Linked DNA regions of Lepisosteus oculatus. The protein of the gene in region 1 purifies or fractionates together with the protein of each later gene. This does not show direct contact. Links are inferred from orthologs where the notes say so. Each region holds a gene or a part of one and is shown in the gene's direction. Other genes may lie near its edges.

Region 1 (7,569 bases):
TGGTAGCGACAACATTTTAGAAGAATTGCTTTCAGGCATGCATATTTTCGGGTTTACAGCTCAAAAAGCAATGCTTGAAACAATAATATATACGCCTGTTCCCAACTCCTCTCTTTTTAATCAGTTGGGAACCTTCTGCTTCAGTGGCTATACACTGAGGTTGAAGTGAATGGTTGGAGGTGTTAGCAAGGTGAAATGTTAAAAGCCTTTCTCCTCTGCATGAGTTTCTAGAACAGTCTCTTCATTGCAGATTGAATGCTACAATCATATAATCCATTGACTTAACTGTAGTTATGCACTGGTCCATCTGTCAAAAAGGAATCTTTGTATAGTTTAGAAAACTGTCATAATTTCCACAATTATAAAGCAATCAAGAGATTAACAAAGATGTGGTTAAGGAAACGGAGTAAAGGCAGGCAAATGTTTGCCAAACGCATAGGTCTAGTGATTAGTTAAAGCTGCTAATGAAGTAGCTCTTTTGGCAGCATCTCCGCAGTGTCATGTATTTACCTGTTTGGGACTTTTAGGCCAGCTACAGGGGTTGGACTGGGCCATTCACAGCAAGACTAGCCTCAGTTCACACTTGACCCAGAACTAGATATCAAACAGCTTCTGTTCTTTTCAGACTCTGAAAAAGGGCTGCCTTTTGTTTCTTTTCTGTTTCTCAAGAACACACATAGCTGTTTCTAGTGTAATTAAGGCTACGATTTTGGCACCAAACTGTTTTTAAGTCTATTACCAGTTCACATGTCCCTGCAACTTTGCAGGGAACTAAAACGATAATCTTTGATCACAAGGAAGCAGAACACAGGATATTTTACAGCTACAATTTCTACTGGAATACTTTTGAATGTAATGCATTTACGTGAAGGTAGTGTTCAATTTGTTACCACAGAGCAGAATTGTTTATTATTGTTGCTGTGCAGTGACATGGTTGGAGAGCATACCTAGCACATCTGTGCTTTTTGTATTTAATTAATTTATTCATTATTTATTATATTCCAAGTGTAGGGTGAGTTGATAGTGGTCTCCAGTCATGACCTTTTCCTCTGTGTGCTTTTGATGCGATTCTTGGTCAAACACTGAAACAATATCTTGCCGATTGTTTTTTCAGAGATTGTCTTTACATCTGGAGAACAGTTTTGTGGCTTGCTCTGTACAATGGGCTGACGAAGAAAGTGTTTTGAAAAGCCATTTGCAAGATTTCAGGGATTTTATTACTATTCATAGTCTATCTGGCACCTTTGTCAAAATCTTAGCCTTAACTATAATCGTATCCTGTATATAAATACTGTAAAAACACAATCAGGGCTTTAGAATTTTTTACAAGGCAGGGGAATCCGTGGTTTCATTTCAGCATGAGCCTAATAAAAAGTGAATCTTAATGCAAACTTTTTTACTCAGTGTTTTGCTCATTTGAAATCCTGGATGCCCCAGTTTTAAGTGTACAGGCATCACCTTATTTTCACTTCGATCGTGAATGATTCTGAATGCACGGCCAGCCCTCACCCCACCCCCTTCGCCCCAACACTTCCTTCCCAGTATGTTCAGATACCATTTGGCACAGAGAAATTCAGATGTACCAACACTAAATTAATAAAGCTCCTTTTGTTTTATAAGTGGTTTGAATTTTATTTCCCTGGTGTGTTCCACAGATTCAGCAACAAGGTTGTTAAGCAGAAGGAGTGGATTCTGTTGCAAAAGCAATCTGAATTGTGGGAGTAAGATGGAAGCTCTTCAGCTGGATGATAGAAACTTATCAAACTGTGGCATGATCAAATCTGTTTGAATAAAGGGCAAAGTTAAAGTGCTTTTTTGGGTTTGCATTCAAAAATGTATCCATGAAATTGCTGTATTCTTATCACGATTCATAAATTAAATTATTACACTATTCTCTAACCAAAGTCTAATAATAATATAGTACTAACATTGTACAGTAGTCTAGAGTTTTTTGGTAAAGTATAAAACACCATCCAAGCTTAATGACAAAGCATTGAAATATTAAAATCCTCCAAAACCTGTATTAATATGTTGCCTCTTAAACCATGGCCTTAATGTTTTGAAGAAATCAAATATGTTCTATTTATGTTGGGTGTAGAAAGATATCTCAGTACAATGCCGCCCTCTGGGGTTATTGCATAAAACGGCATTCTAGACTCCATTGCTTTGATTTCAGCGGAAGAGGTAGCTTTTAGCATTGGAAAAAACGGATGTGTCATTATTTAGATTTAATTACATTGCAGGAAATAACTTTTTTTGTACAAACAAACATCCTCATACCCGGTTTATAAATAAATGTTTGCCTTCATTAGAACTGAAAATACTGAAAGCATTTTGTCACGTACTGCTGTAGTTATAACAGTGGCATATTCACAAAAAAAAACACATTTCACATCTTCCAATAATAAGGAACTTTTGATAGAGTTTATTCTTCAAGTGTTATTGTACTGGGGCACCACATTTTCCTATCTCATATATTAATCGGCTTGCTGGAGTGTACATAAATCTTGACATTCATCTATTCATAGGTACGCTCATTACTTGCCCAACGACTTTTAAATGAACCTGCTGATTTTGTGTTTGTTTCTTGGATGAGTTTAAGGAGTAAAACCCATGGCTGGAAGTCAAGGATTACTCCTGGCACCCATTTTGCTTTCATAATATGAATTCCTGGTTGAGTGTTTTGCTTTTTTATTAGAAGTGATAGCAGAGGTAGTAACAGGCTGCCCTTGCCCTTGAGTTTGTACTGTTCTGTTGTCGTGAGCCCTGGTTCAGGGGGCTTGGAAAACACCAGTCGGGAGCAGACAGACAGAAGACTCTAGAAGAAACGCAGTTTGCACCACAGCACCCAGGAGCAGACTCGGACACCAGGGACTCTACAGAAAGCAGTGGAGAAAGGCCCCGGCATCCATTGCTCAGGACGGCCTGGACTGAGGAGGGCACCTGAGACTACACCTGTGGAGTTCATGCTCTGTGGTGAAAAGGAGGCACAGCAGGGCATCGACTGGAGCTGTGTTTTAGAGAACAGCACTGCTGGACTGTTCCTCTGGCACACTGGAGTTTGGTAACTGGGGTCCGTGGGGTTCTTGTGTCCCTCGGAGATGCCTTTTATGTGATGTATTCTGTTTGGCTAGGCCGTAATAGACAACTGTAATCACAAGGAAATAGAAAAGGGAAATGATGTAAGGATGTATGTCTTGTCCGGTCCCTGGGGACACTGGTGGTTCTGGGAGAGATAGAAAGAACCCGTTGAGGAGGGAAAAATATCCTAGCACCTTTTATAATTGATAGATGGCATAGTTGGCTATAAAGGCTAAAATCATCCTGCATTTAGAGGTCACTAACTATTTCCATTACTTTTAGGAAGTTGTGTTTTTTAATGACAAAGTAGTTTAGAGGTCTAACCTCGGTTTAACTTCTCATCCGAAGTACAGCACCTCCTACAATGCCGAAATTCTGTTTACAGTATTGGGTATTGGTTTGGAAATTCTAGTCCAGGGGAGAAGCTGTTACCTACTGGACCAAAAACACTACTGGATTTTGCTTAGAAGTCTCCCTTCCTTGTGCCAGCAGCCATATCATCCTCCAACTCCCAGTGACAATCTGCTGACGTTCAGTAGGTGGGAGTGTGGTCAGTACCTGGATGGAAGACTCCTAGGGAAGATAAGGTTGCTTGTGGAAGAGGTGTTAGTGGGGCCAGTAGGGGGGGGCTCACCCTGCATTCTGTGTGGGTCCTAATGCCCCAGTATAGTGACATAAAACTGAGGTCCTGACTCTCTGTGGGCATTAAAATGTCCAGGGCATTACTTGAAAAGAATAGGGATGTTACACTGGTGTCCCATGTGTCCTGAAAAGTGCTATATAATTGTAAGGTATTATAATAATAATAATAATATAAATAATAATAATAATAATTATTAGTATAATAATAATAATAATTATTATTATTATTATTATTATTTTATTATTATTATTATTATTATTATTATTATGTACTAGTACTAAGTAGACCAACTACTTTATAAGGTCTGAGAGATTAGGCTACAATTTTGAATACTGCTTCATCGGTATAAAAATAAAAATGTAATAATGCAATGGACATACAGACTGTACCGGTACTGCACAGTCCATGAACACTGCAGGACAAAGCGCACCCAAAAACTGGCGGGGCTTCAGCACAAAAACCCTTTCAAAACTTTCGGAAATTTCACCTCCAAGCAGTAGGGGGCAGTCGTAAGCTGCATGCGGCGCTCGCTTGCATTTCGGTTTGGAGCTTACGTGTTTCGGCGAGGCTCGTCGCTTCCTGTGTTTAAAGCAGGACTGCGATAACCATCCGCGGTGGCTCAGACGGTCAAAGTCGGGCTGCAGCCAATTTGAGTTGCACAGGGTCTCCAGGAGGAACACGGTGACGGGATCATGTCTGTCAACCTGAGCAAAAACGGCCCGGCCATCACTGCAGCTTATAAAGAGGTGGTGGACGAGAAATCCAAAACGAACTGGTAAGAAAACTGTAAGGAGTGATGCAACGCACCCCGGGCGTGTTTAGCTTTCGTCCTACATTCAGACTGAGGGCAGCTATTTCCCCCAACTGTCTCCTCATGCCTGCGGCTGGCGCTCCGCACTGATTTCCTGCTTTCCGAAAATAACACGGGATTTGTGTATTTGTTCTTGCCAGTCAGCATTCATTTACTGCTTGGCATGTCAATGTGTGCGTGTTTGGAGGCGCGCTCATTAGTCGCGCTGTCTCGAATAAACGAGAACGATTGTGAGACTCGAATGATTTATTAACAGTGCGTCCGTATCGATATATTTGGAAATAAGTCATCTACTTCCCAAATTCACCTTTTACAGCAGACTTGTTCCGTTACCTTGCCTTTTAACATTACGTGCTCTTAATTGACAAATACGGTTTACAGCGATATTGTTATACGAACATGCAGTTGGTCAAGGAGGAACTCCTGATTCAGACGTGAGTTTTGTTACAGCAAAAACTGTGTAACTTGAAACCTCCTGTGTCGGTATTTCACGAGAATTTTTTTTCTGGTGACTTTTCACTCGAGGTCAGGTCGTCTGCGTTGTGAAAGCGTACCTCGCACGTACCTGCAACCTGTTTTTGTATTTCAGCCGTCCTGGCTATAAAATACAAGCATTTGGCGTATCTGCTGCAAATGACGTTTGCTGAGTCGCTGGACTGAGTGTCTGACAGTCTGGGGACGTGAGTGATCACGAATGAATCACTCTTAACCTCTCAATGCCCTGAGAGGTGGTCGCTTTCCGGTTAGTAAGGAGGTAAACTCTTCGCACTGGCTGGAACGATAAAGCTACAAAATACAGTTATCAAGTACACGGTTGAATTACAGTATAATTCATTTCGTTTGATTGATTTACTTCTTGGGATGTAGCTTTTGTCCGACCTGTGTGTCTCTCTGTATATGAATACCTATAATAAAGGCCAGGCCACTTTTAAAATCGCCAGTTACAAATCTTCAGTGACGCCCCCACATCAGCCAAACATTTAAGATAAATCATTTTGCCAGGTTCCATGGACTCTAGATGTGTCCCAGCAGCCTTAAACCCAACCGAAACGCTCTACAGGGGTCAGTGTGCTAATTATTTTGGAGGAGTTGGAATTGAAATGTCTAAAACTAAACCGCCTACAGTCCTCCCACAAAAACCGTGGAGAGGGAATCGTTTTTACTCATGTGTGTCAGCAGCAGAACGGAAAAAAAACAGTACTGTTCTGGCCATGCCTGGATCTGAGTCTTACTGCCTGTTTATGGAGTAGCAATCGCAGAGGTTTCAAAGTAGGAAGCATCAAAAAGGGGTTATGTTTTAGAAAGCCACCTTTTTACCACTTTTGCAAATGTCTCGTATTGGAGGAAGTGGGTAGATTATCGTAGGAGCTGCCTAGACACAAAAGCAAGAACAATGATTCGCACCCAGAAGTGTCAGCACTTGGATTTAAATAACCAAAGCATTTCCCCACTAATACTGAAAGTACATGCCTGACAACATCTAGCATAAAATGGAGTGGGCTCCAACACAGGCAGGTCCGGTCTATACAACCACGCATGCTAGTGGAGAACATTTACTTATACTAGGGTTTACAGAATATTGGATTGGTGGGCATGTACCGTCACACAGTGCTAGGGATGTTCAGGGCTCTGCACATGTGAAACTGTGTTCTGTCATACAGACCCTGAATGAGCTCTGCCTGCAGGTTGCTATTCATTTCCACAGTACAGCTTTAGAGTTTTAATCCTGCAGCGAGCACTGAGAGAGGCACACAGTCGCTACGCTGGAAGACAGAGAGCTGAGTCACCTCACGCAAGGTGGTGGCTGATGGGCGAGAGAGCGGGGTGCTTAGTTCTGTCTCTGGAAAGAGGGAGGGATAAAAGAGGTGGTATATTGAAGGCCTGATTATTTGATGTGTTTGCATTCTGCAGCAGTAAGCAGTGGCTGTTTTTAAAATGACGACAGTTCTCAGATGGGAGAGAGGTGTTGCTGCTTTTGTGAAAACCCAGCACTTCACAGACTTGTCATTTTGATGTCGGGGGAGCATCACTGTTAATAGGACTGTGATGGATGTGTGCTTGTTAGACGTGTTTAAGTAACAGTGATAATTTCATGGTGGGTAGGATAAGTGTTTGCTTCCTGTATTGATAACCTTGCTGCTTACTAAGAAAATTGCATTGCAAATAAAATATTACGTCCATTGGAAAATATAGAAAAGTCAAGTTCCCAGAGCAACACGAAGTTGTAATTTAATCTTCTTATTAAACCTGTTGACTGGAGTGCTTAACAGCGTCCCTTTTTAATTAACCTCAGCTTAGCATCAGGGGTATTGCTTCACACTGCCAGAGTTCACTAGAGTGTTCGTGACCCACTCGACACACAAAGTGACTTTATGGTTCATTACCATAATGTGATAGATGTGCCGATGTGATAGTGCACAATAATTACAGCAAAGTGAATGACACTGGTTACACTATCCTTGTGCAAGGTCCTGGCTCTACAGAACATTCATTTGTATAGAATTATTTTCAAACAGTTCTTGTCGCGCAAGAAAACCTACAGTGTTGGATTAAAAAGACAGGGGAAAAAGTAAGTTCATAAGCCATTGGCTAAGGGGCTGTTCAGTTGGTTGCTTGTTTGTTTCCTCATCTGCAGTTTGCACTCTTGATAGAAGTTATAAAAAGTAAAATATTGTGTTTTTCCTGTAGGTAAATATTGTTGTATTCAATACAATGATCAGTGCATACATTTCTTAAAACAAGTTGTATCATGTGCTTGTAACACCATATGGCAGTGTTAAATGTGAGGTAACGATTTTATTTTTTAAGCTTTTTTTAATTGAAATTAGCTGATAAATAGTTCTGCTTTTTGCTGCTGCTGGCATTTTCACTACACTAAAATAAGCCTCGACAGTGCGATATTTGGAATTATTGTGATTTCCTCTAATAGTAAGATCTAGACAAAGCCCTTCCTCTTCCTTCATTTTCTGCATTTCATGATGAACCAGCTTCGGTATACTTTGCTTGCACTTCCTGTTTTAAAACTGTTCTCAGC
Region 2 (8,191 bases), on another chromosome or scaffold:
AGGGAGCTCCCAGCTGTGGGCAGTGCAGTTGCAGTTGGTGCAGTAGTAGAGGGTGGGGACAGTGCTCCTTTCCTTCGGCTCCTCCATCTCATCCTCCTCCTCCTCCTGCAGGAGGTCCCGGGCCAGCTTGACGTGCCTGCCCTCGTCGCTGAAAGCCCTCCTCAGCTCCTCGAAGCTCGGGGTTCCTGCGAGACACACACAGTACACACAAGCGACAGAGCAGCCTTTTCTAATGACCTCTCCACGCCTCCTCCAGCACCTGGTGTCTCGCCACTTGGTCTGCACGCTGCCAGCGGAACTGGGGCACGTGGGTCAACTCTCACGCCCAGACAAACCCAGCGAAGCAGGATTTACAGACCCAGCATGTGACAATTAGGTTTCCGCCAAAGGCAACCATCATCCACCATCAAGCACTGTGTTTGGTTTTCCAGATGGACAATCTGGTGGGTCAAATGACCGATGTGTTCTAACCCCTCAGACCCACTGGCACCTGATACTGGGATCATGTTGTACTAGACATGTCAAGGGGCTCTTTTTTTTCCATTTCATTTGTGTGTGATCAGTGCAAGAGAGAAACCAACAAGCAAATTCTGCTGTGCTGCTGCTGTATTCTAGGGGTTGTATGAACTGCTCAGTGTTTTTCCTTTAAATTATTTAAATTTATGCTTTAAAGTATTTAAATATATGTATGTGTTCTAGAAAGCTGCAGCAGCCTCGCCGTGTTCTGTGTGTAAAGTAGCACTGGTGCACGTTTCTGAGCTTCAGTTTGTTCGTCAGGCAGGGAAAGAAACCACTTGATCTCTAAGTTGACCGTTTGGAAATGGTCCTGTAGTGGGCGTTAAGAAGAATAGTGAATGGGATATCCAGGCTGGGAGAGTGCTAATAAAATAAAAAATAATCGCTGATTGCAAAATATTGCAGAACCTCCGAAGAGGAATGATAGCTGGAGCTGGATGGCATGAGTGTGCCTCTTGGGCAGCAGTGTTCCTGCTGGGCGGAGCGGAGTGGGACTGCTCACCGAAACACGCCCCCGGAGCCCCGGACCCCTCCTCCCTGCTCTCCCCTTCTGCAGCCCCCCCCGTCTGGGGGGCTGCGGGATTGGCGCTGCCCTCCCACGTGCCCTCGATGGCGCCATCCGTCTCGGCAGAGCTGCATGGACACCACAGTACAGCGCGTCAGAAACAATGGGCAAAGCCAGTGGCAAGGCTGACTGGTTACTGTGCTGAGGCACATTTTCACAGGGGGTTTCGGTCAGGGCTGCAGTGTGACCAGCTGTTCCAGTTTTCCAACTCAACAGCAAAGGGGTTTTTCATTATTTTAAGCATTTTTGCTCCATTGTAACTGTCCTGAAGGAGATTTGTGCTAATGAGGCTGCGTGGCCCCAAGTGAGAAGCTCCAGTGACTCAAAGAAAGATTCAGACATACAAAGACTCAGAGAGAGATTCAGACATACAGAGACTCACAGAGAGATTCGGACACACAGAGAGTCACAGAGAGATTCGGACACACAGATACTGACAGAGAGATTCGGACACACAGATACTGACAGAGAGATTCAGACACACAGACTCACAGAGAGATTCAGACACACAGAGACTCACAGAGATAATTCAGACACACAGATACTGACAGAAAGATTCAGACACACAGACTCACAGAGAGATTCAGACACACAGACTCACAGAGAGATTCAGACACACAGAGACACACAGAGAGACAGAGAGATACACCTCAAAGACACACAAAAACACAGAGTTCAGGACACAGAAGCACACAGAGGTATGAAGGGCTCATTCCTCAGTCAGTCCCTGCAGGGCAATACACTTGGACAATAGAGAATGGATTTGCTGTTTGTTGAGCATTCAGGTGGAGCGCAAGAGAAGCTGACCTGGTCCCAGCACAGTCTGCACTGTCCACCCTCATAAGGCTGGGCGGCTGAGTGGCCAGGATACTGCACTCGTCCCAGCTCTGGCTCTTCTTCCTGGGCACAGACACCGACCGATCAGAGCGCCCGCCTGCAGTGGGCACTGGCCTGCACTGGGTGTAAAGAGCCGACACCCTGGAGCAGCAGACGTGAGCGACTAGACTCCTGGAGGGGCCACAGCCCTGCAGAGTGTCACAGCTTACTTTTCAACTAGCCACCAATGATGCCACCAGACAAAGGGACTGCATTTCTCCCAGTGATTAGCTCAAGTAAATCGCGGGGGAAATGAAATCCGCAACAGCATTTGCAGCAGAAGCTGGACTGCTTTGGAAAGCCGTTATTGGATACAAATCAAATTCAAAATCTGTCTACCTCTTGGTCTGACAGATGCAGGTGTGCTGTATTCCAGATGTGCTGCCGCCTGCACCCTCCAACATCACAGCGCTGGTTCTGCAGAGTCAGAGACATGAACAGGACAGAACAGCAGAATCTGCCTATGTTTTGGTGTCCATTTACAGTGTTATGTATATATAAATAGCTGACCCTGCGCTCTGACCCCAAGCTTCTCTCCCTGTCTGTGTATCTCATGGAGAGCAGGCTGGTTGATGGGAAAAGACAAATTCCTAATGCAAGAAATCGCATATGGCCAATAAAGTGATCTGATCTTATCTTACTGTCAGACCTGTTGAAAACCATAGTAAAAGTGAGAAAACACCAACGTAAATGTATCAAAGCACAGCCTCCAATGTACTCACATGCTGGGAGATCTTTGCTCCTCATGGTCCAGCTTCTGTATGTCGTTGCTGGGCAAATAAGCTCTCGTGGCCAAGATGCTCCACTCGTCCCACCTCTGTCTCTTCCTGGAGAAGCCGAGAAAGGCTGTGTAACTGCAGCATGAGGATTAGATTGCATTGCTATTGATCCACTGTAATTAGCATTGCACCACAGAACTTTCTTGTAGTTCTGTAGGTTTAAGTATACAGCCAGGTTTGCTGCTGATTGTTTCCACAGGTACCAGTGACAACTGCCCACACACTTGTTACTGAATACACTCTTTCAGTGACACGACAACACTGGTTTTGTACATCAGGAGCAGGAAGCAGAGGATCCTATGAAATCAGGTTCCCTGGCTAGGACTATACCCCAGATCTCAATTCTGTTGGAGACAAGTGGAACTGAATGGCAGGTTTCACACTCCAGTGTCCTCATAGCAACCTCAGCTGAAGGTGATACTGCTGGAGAAAAAGAGACTGGATTGGGGTGATCCCTGCGGAATGCATGCCCATTTCCGGATGCTCCCAGCGTCTCACGGTGCCATTGAGACCTGGTGGTCTAGACGGGGAGTGTGAAGAAGTAAATGTGTCCTGTGTGCGGATTCGAACCCGGGCCCCCCTGGTGTGGCACAGAGGGCGGGCTGGCGCCACCTGTGGTTTGGAGTGCCGTTCCCCGCCTCCTCGCTGGAGCTGCTGTTCTTCAGGATGCCCCTGAGTGGCAGGCTGCAGCTGGTGCCCAGGCTGTGCTTCACCAGGCCCGTGAGTGGCACCGGGGACGACTGGCTTCTCAGCGGGCACTCGGCGCTGTGCACCAGGCGCTCGGGGTCTCGGTGGGCGTCGGCATCCCAGAGGTCCTTCTTCAGAATCCCTTTCAAGGGTTTCGGCCGCCCGGGTTCTGTGTCCATCTAGCACAAAACAACAGAGGGCCAGGAAAGGCTTGATGGGTTTGGGTTTTATTTTGAGCACTCCATGTTTTTTTGTGGTTTTATTTGTCTTGTTATGACATATTTTTTGTACCTGTTGTTGTTATTATGTTTGTGATGTACTGTCTGCATCGTGTGGTGTTGCCTGTTGTCCTGTGTATGTTCCGAGAGATCTGCGCGATTCAGAATTCCAATGTATGTGTACATATGGCAAAAAATGACTCTACTACTCTACTCTTTTCCTGCTTGGGATTTGTGTTCAAACATTAAAAAAAGAGGGGAAAAAGGAAGGAGAAAGAAGCAAAGATGACCTTTGATCGGGGTGTTTCGAGAAATGGCTGGACATGACCCCTGGATTATTAAATAAACTACTAGCTGCCAAAATGCCCAGATGGATCTGGATGACTCTTCTAAAACTCACTCCAGGTCATCTGATCATGCCAGATCATCTGATCTGGGCTCATAGTCTCTCCCCACCACACCACAGCGATCCAGCTCTTGACACAGCATAGAGGCGGGGGTTCCCAATCTGTAGGCATGTCTTAACCCAAAAACCTAGTTTGCACCCCAAAGAGAAGAGCTTGAGGGATGGGGACACTCTTCGACTTAAGGAGGCATTTAACTGCACACCTGTTCAAGCATCATGCAGATGTTAATACTGAAGGCAGACACTGCAACATAGAATTAAACACAACATAATTGTAATTTAGAATTAACATGTGCATCAGAAAAAAAAATAATCTCACTTCTCCACACCTGTAACACAAATTTATAAACATATGCACCTTAACACATTACGCAAGCATAAAGCTTTTACCTAATTCGGGCTGACCCACTGCTCTGAAAGATCCTTGTTTCACTTCTTCACACACCTAAAAATGCAAAGTTCACTAACGTGCTGTTAGTTTTTCTTTAACTATTACGTGATAATCACGCGAAGCGGCGGTTGCGACGTCACACTCTGCAGCGCGGCTTACGTTTCAGCCCCGCCCTTCACGGAAAGACCTGCTGTCAACAAATTTACTTCTGATTACAGCGCCGCACAGTACAGTACCTAACGCACAAAGCCATATCTATCTATACATCCGAAACAAAAATGTAAAAACAGTTTCGATTATTTAAATAATTATATTAATAATGCTTGTATACATGTTTTTGCTGCTCTGAAAATGTGTAGTCTTTGTTCGTTTTTATATCTGTATTCCCAGAATGTAAGTAACCTGTGTCAGTTATATCTGCCCTTGCTGTCAATAATTGTATGTTTAAGAATAACAATTTTACAAGGCAGGGAACGTTCACACTTTCGTTTTCGTTGTTATTGTTGTTTACTACTGGTATCGCAGCCCAGTGATTTATGGCGATTAGTGCAAATGAACGGATTGTTTTCTTGCTTCAGAATGAAATACAATAGCTCTTTCTTGCCCACAGCCTCGCAACTGAATAAAGCGACCCCTAGTAATATAAGCACATAGCAAAAAAACATGCACCCGCACTGCCACAGAGCTTTAAATTGATTTTTTTGACACTCTGCTGTAAAGTGAAGTGACAGAATTCCATTTTGACCTTCTGCCGTCAAACGAGAGATACTGTCGTAACTGTCTTCCCATCTAATCGAAGCGGGTTGCGAGCCGCGCTTGGTTTCGGTGTCGTAAAGAGGCGTCGCGAACGGGCCGCCCCTGCGAAGATGGCGGAGCTGCATCCGCGCAGCGGAAAGCTGATCGGCCTGTCGAACTCGAACCGAACCGCCCAGCGTAATCAGCCGGTACAGGAATTTAACCACGGTCTTGTACTGAGCCGTGAGCCGCTGCGAGACCGGGATGTCTTCACTGTCCGCATCGATAAAAAGGTAAATACGAGAGCAAAGACGGGCGAGAGGCAGGGATAGGGTTCGGAGCTCAGCTAGGCGGAGATGGATGAGAGGGGAGTCGCTCCGTGGGGATCCACCTGGGCCAGTGGGTTCGGAAAACAAGACACCAGCACAGGTGTCGGGGTTCGGGGCTACTGTTTGAAACGGTGTTAGCATTGCACGTATCTGCAGGGTGGATGTTGTTAGCACACGGTAATAATTCTGCAGTACCGCATCCAGTGATACGGAATCGTGTTGTGTGTTTGGGGTGGGGTGGCGCGGAGATGAAATCTAAGGCACGGGATGAAATGAAACAGGTGGTGCATCTTGCCTGGTGAAATACATGCCTGGTGTGTCCGCTGGTCTGCATGAGCAATCTTCATTTTTGAAGAGCGCGTATCCGCTCTGGACGCGACGGGTCAGTGGTGGTCATGGTGGGAGGGGGGGGGCTGCCTGGGTGCCAGTCCTGTCGGTTTCTCCCATGGCCTGAGCCGCGCTGGAGGTCAGGGCGCTGTGTGTGTGTGCGCCCACCGCTCCGGGCTGCGGTGTTCGGCGCAGGTGGCGACTTGGCGTTACCTAGAGCAGGCGACAACACCTCCCGCCCCCGAACTCCGTTCGTGTGTGTGACTTGGTTTTATTTTCGTCACATGGGCTGCGGGACTCTGTTGGACTGTCCGAAGCCTATGTGAGTCGGTTTTAGAGGGGTGTGCATCGCCTTGTCCAAACCTGAAACCGTCATTTTCAGGTCGGGCGGCAGAGCGGAATTCCCTCGCGTTATTTTCCCAGGCATTAAAAATCTGCCCGCCCTTCGTTGGCCATTGCGCTGTCCAGTTGTTCTCGAGCTCGTCAAACGAGTCTTTTGCCGTGCTGAGAAATGGATCCGCGGAATCGCTGGCATTTCTTTGCAGCTCGACATAAATATTTCATCCTCTCCCAAGGTCAGTTCCTGCCTGTCCATCATTAATTATGTATTCCTGATCGGAAACGGACTTTCCTCCGGCACAGCAAGTTGGGAGAGGATGGAAAAGCCCGTTAAGAGTCCCACAAACTGGAAAGCTGTGGGCGTCCCGGAAGTCCAGTTTGTCTCTGGCTGGAGGGGCCTCTAGGCATGAGTATGGCCTTGGAAATTCATACAGATGGGTAAATCGCTGTCCACTGGGGAAAGTGGAAAAGCACACTGGAAAAGCACCGGATAAGCTTTTCTGGAAACATGGGACAACAAACTGATTTTTTCTGTAAGGATTCATGCAACAGAGGAGGAGAATTCTGTTCCGGGACTCCAAACTCCAGTCTGCATGATCGCAGAAGTAGTACTGTGGTACATTTATTCTGAACCCTAATGCAATGGTTGTTACTGGACATTTCCATTGTTTCTTAACATGCAATATTAAATGGAGTATGAAGTGCTTTGCCCTTTAAATAACTGCACCTCTCCTTGTGCACTGTACATTGCATGTGTATGAATGCAGTGTGTAAACCTATATACATTGTGCATTAGAGTATTACATGCAGGGCAAGTGCTGTGTTAACAGCACAATATAAAGTGTGTTGACGAGACTGTTGTCTGCACCCAGTGATGCTTTATGACTTGATCGTTGGCGCTACGTATTTGTGAATCAGGAGCTACAGACGCATTGTCTAGCGGGGGTATTTGCTCGCTCAGGACATTTGGGGAAACCGCTGGGAAGCCCTGGCACAGCTTTCAGTCCGCGGCTCCCAACCTCTGACCTCTGACCTCTGACCTCTGGCATTGCTGTAGATGTTCGGATCACGTGGAGCTGAGCAGGGCAGGTTTGTCTGGCCTGAAACCGGTTGTGATTCGGCAGAGAGATTCAGGGAGGCTCTGTGCCTTTTCTTGCCTGGCAGACGTGCTCTGGGGATACCAGCGATGGCCTTGTTCACCGTGTTTCAGCTTCTCTTTAAAGACAGCCAGATGTGGGCTATTAATCTATTAATCAGCGAGTTAGAAGACTCATTATGGGGTCATTATTGGCAGGCGATCAAGCCTGTAAGTCTCATTCGAGCCCGACAGGGTCGATCCTGGGCTGCTAGCCTTGACCAGCCATGACCTGGACTCTTTCAAGTGAGGGTACGGAGTTGACCGGACGCTGTCAGGGCTTGGGGTGGTCTTGGGTTGGCTGGTTTGTCATGCCATCCGTGCTCTTATCAGGAGATTCCTGGCAACGATCGGAGGGGAAATTCAGCTTTCCAATTTCCAATTCAGCATTTCCGAAATTTCAGATACACAGAATCTCACCACAGAAATCCAAAGAGCAGACAAAATTATGCAGACCTCTTCCTTCAGTGCCACATTCTCTCGTTTGGAAACCCAGATATTTTAATGCAGTCCACTTACAAATGTTATAATGAATGTAACGGCTCTCAAAGTCCACGTCTATAGCATTAGAAAGAGTTGGGTGATTTTAGGATATTATAAGGATTCTATGCACTATTTCTAAAGGGTTCGAGAATAATTTGCCGTAAGATAGCTATATAGCCAGGGGCTGTATCGCCTTGTAGCTCACAGCTGGCAGCCCACTGAAGCTCAGCGGGTGTGAGCCTGGCCAGTACCTGGATGGGAGACCTCCTGGGAAAGCTAAGGTTGCTGCTGGAAGAGGAGGTGCTAGTGGGACTGGTAGGGTGCGCTCACCCTCCAGTCTGTTTGTGTCCTTATGCTCCTGTACAGTTATGGGCCACTATACTGTACAAAAAAACAAGGGGCCAG

Evidence for each region. The genes of interacting proteins can lie anywhere in the genome.
Region 2: the proteins of dbnlb (region 1) and neurl4 purify together in Homo sapiens (co-immunoprecipitation; 4 studies listed by BioGRID and IntAct, counting the BioPlex papers as one, with this or other methods). This does not show direct contact. The link is inferred for Lepisosteus oculatus from reciprocal best matches to the Homo sapiens genes DBNL and NEURL4.

What each region holds. Positions count from the first base shown.
Region 1 is NC_090697.1:71,793,779-71,801,347, forward strand, and holds the start of dbnlb (drebrin-like protein B), read left to right. Parts: upstream 1-4,264; 5' UTR 4,265-4,416; coding exon 4,417-4,499; intron 4,500-7,569. UniProt on the Homo sapiens protein: Adapter protein that binds F-actin and DNM1, and thereby plays a role in receptor-mediated endocytosis.
Region 2 is NC_090698.1:7,785,528-7,793,718, reverse strand, and holds the start of neurl4 (neuralized-like protein 4), read left to right. Parts: upstream 1-4,725; 5' UTR 4,726-5,304; coding exon 5,305-5,466; intron 5,467-8,191. Other genes in the region: uncharacterized protein, read right to left, coding at 1-185, 1,019-1,149, 1,889-1,981, 2,297-2,374, 2,680-2,811, 3,349-3,602. UniProt on the Homo sapiens protein: Promotes CCP110 ubiquitination and proteasome-dependent degradation. By counteracting accumulation of CP110, maintains normal centriolar homeostasis and preventing formation of ectopic microtubular organizing centers.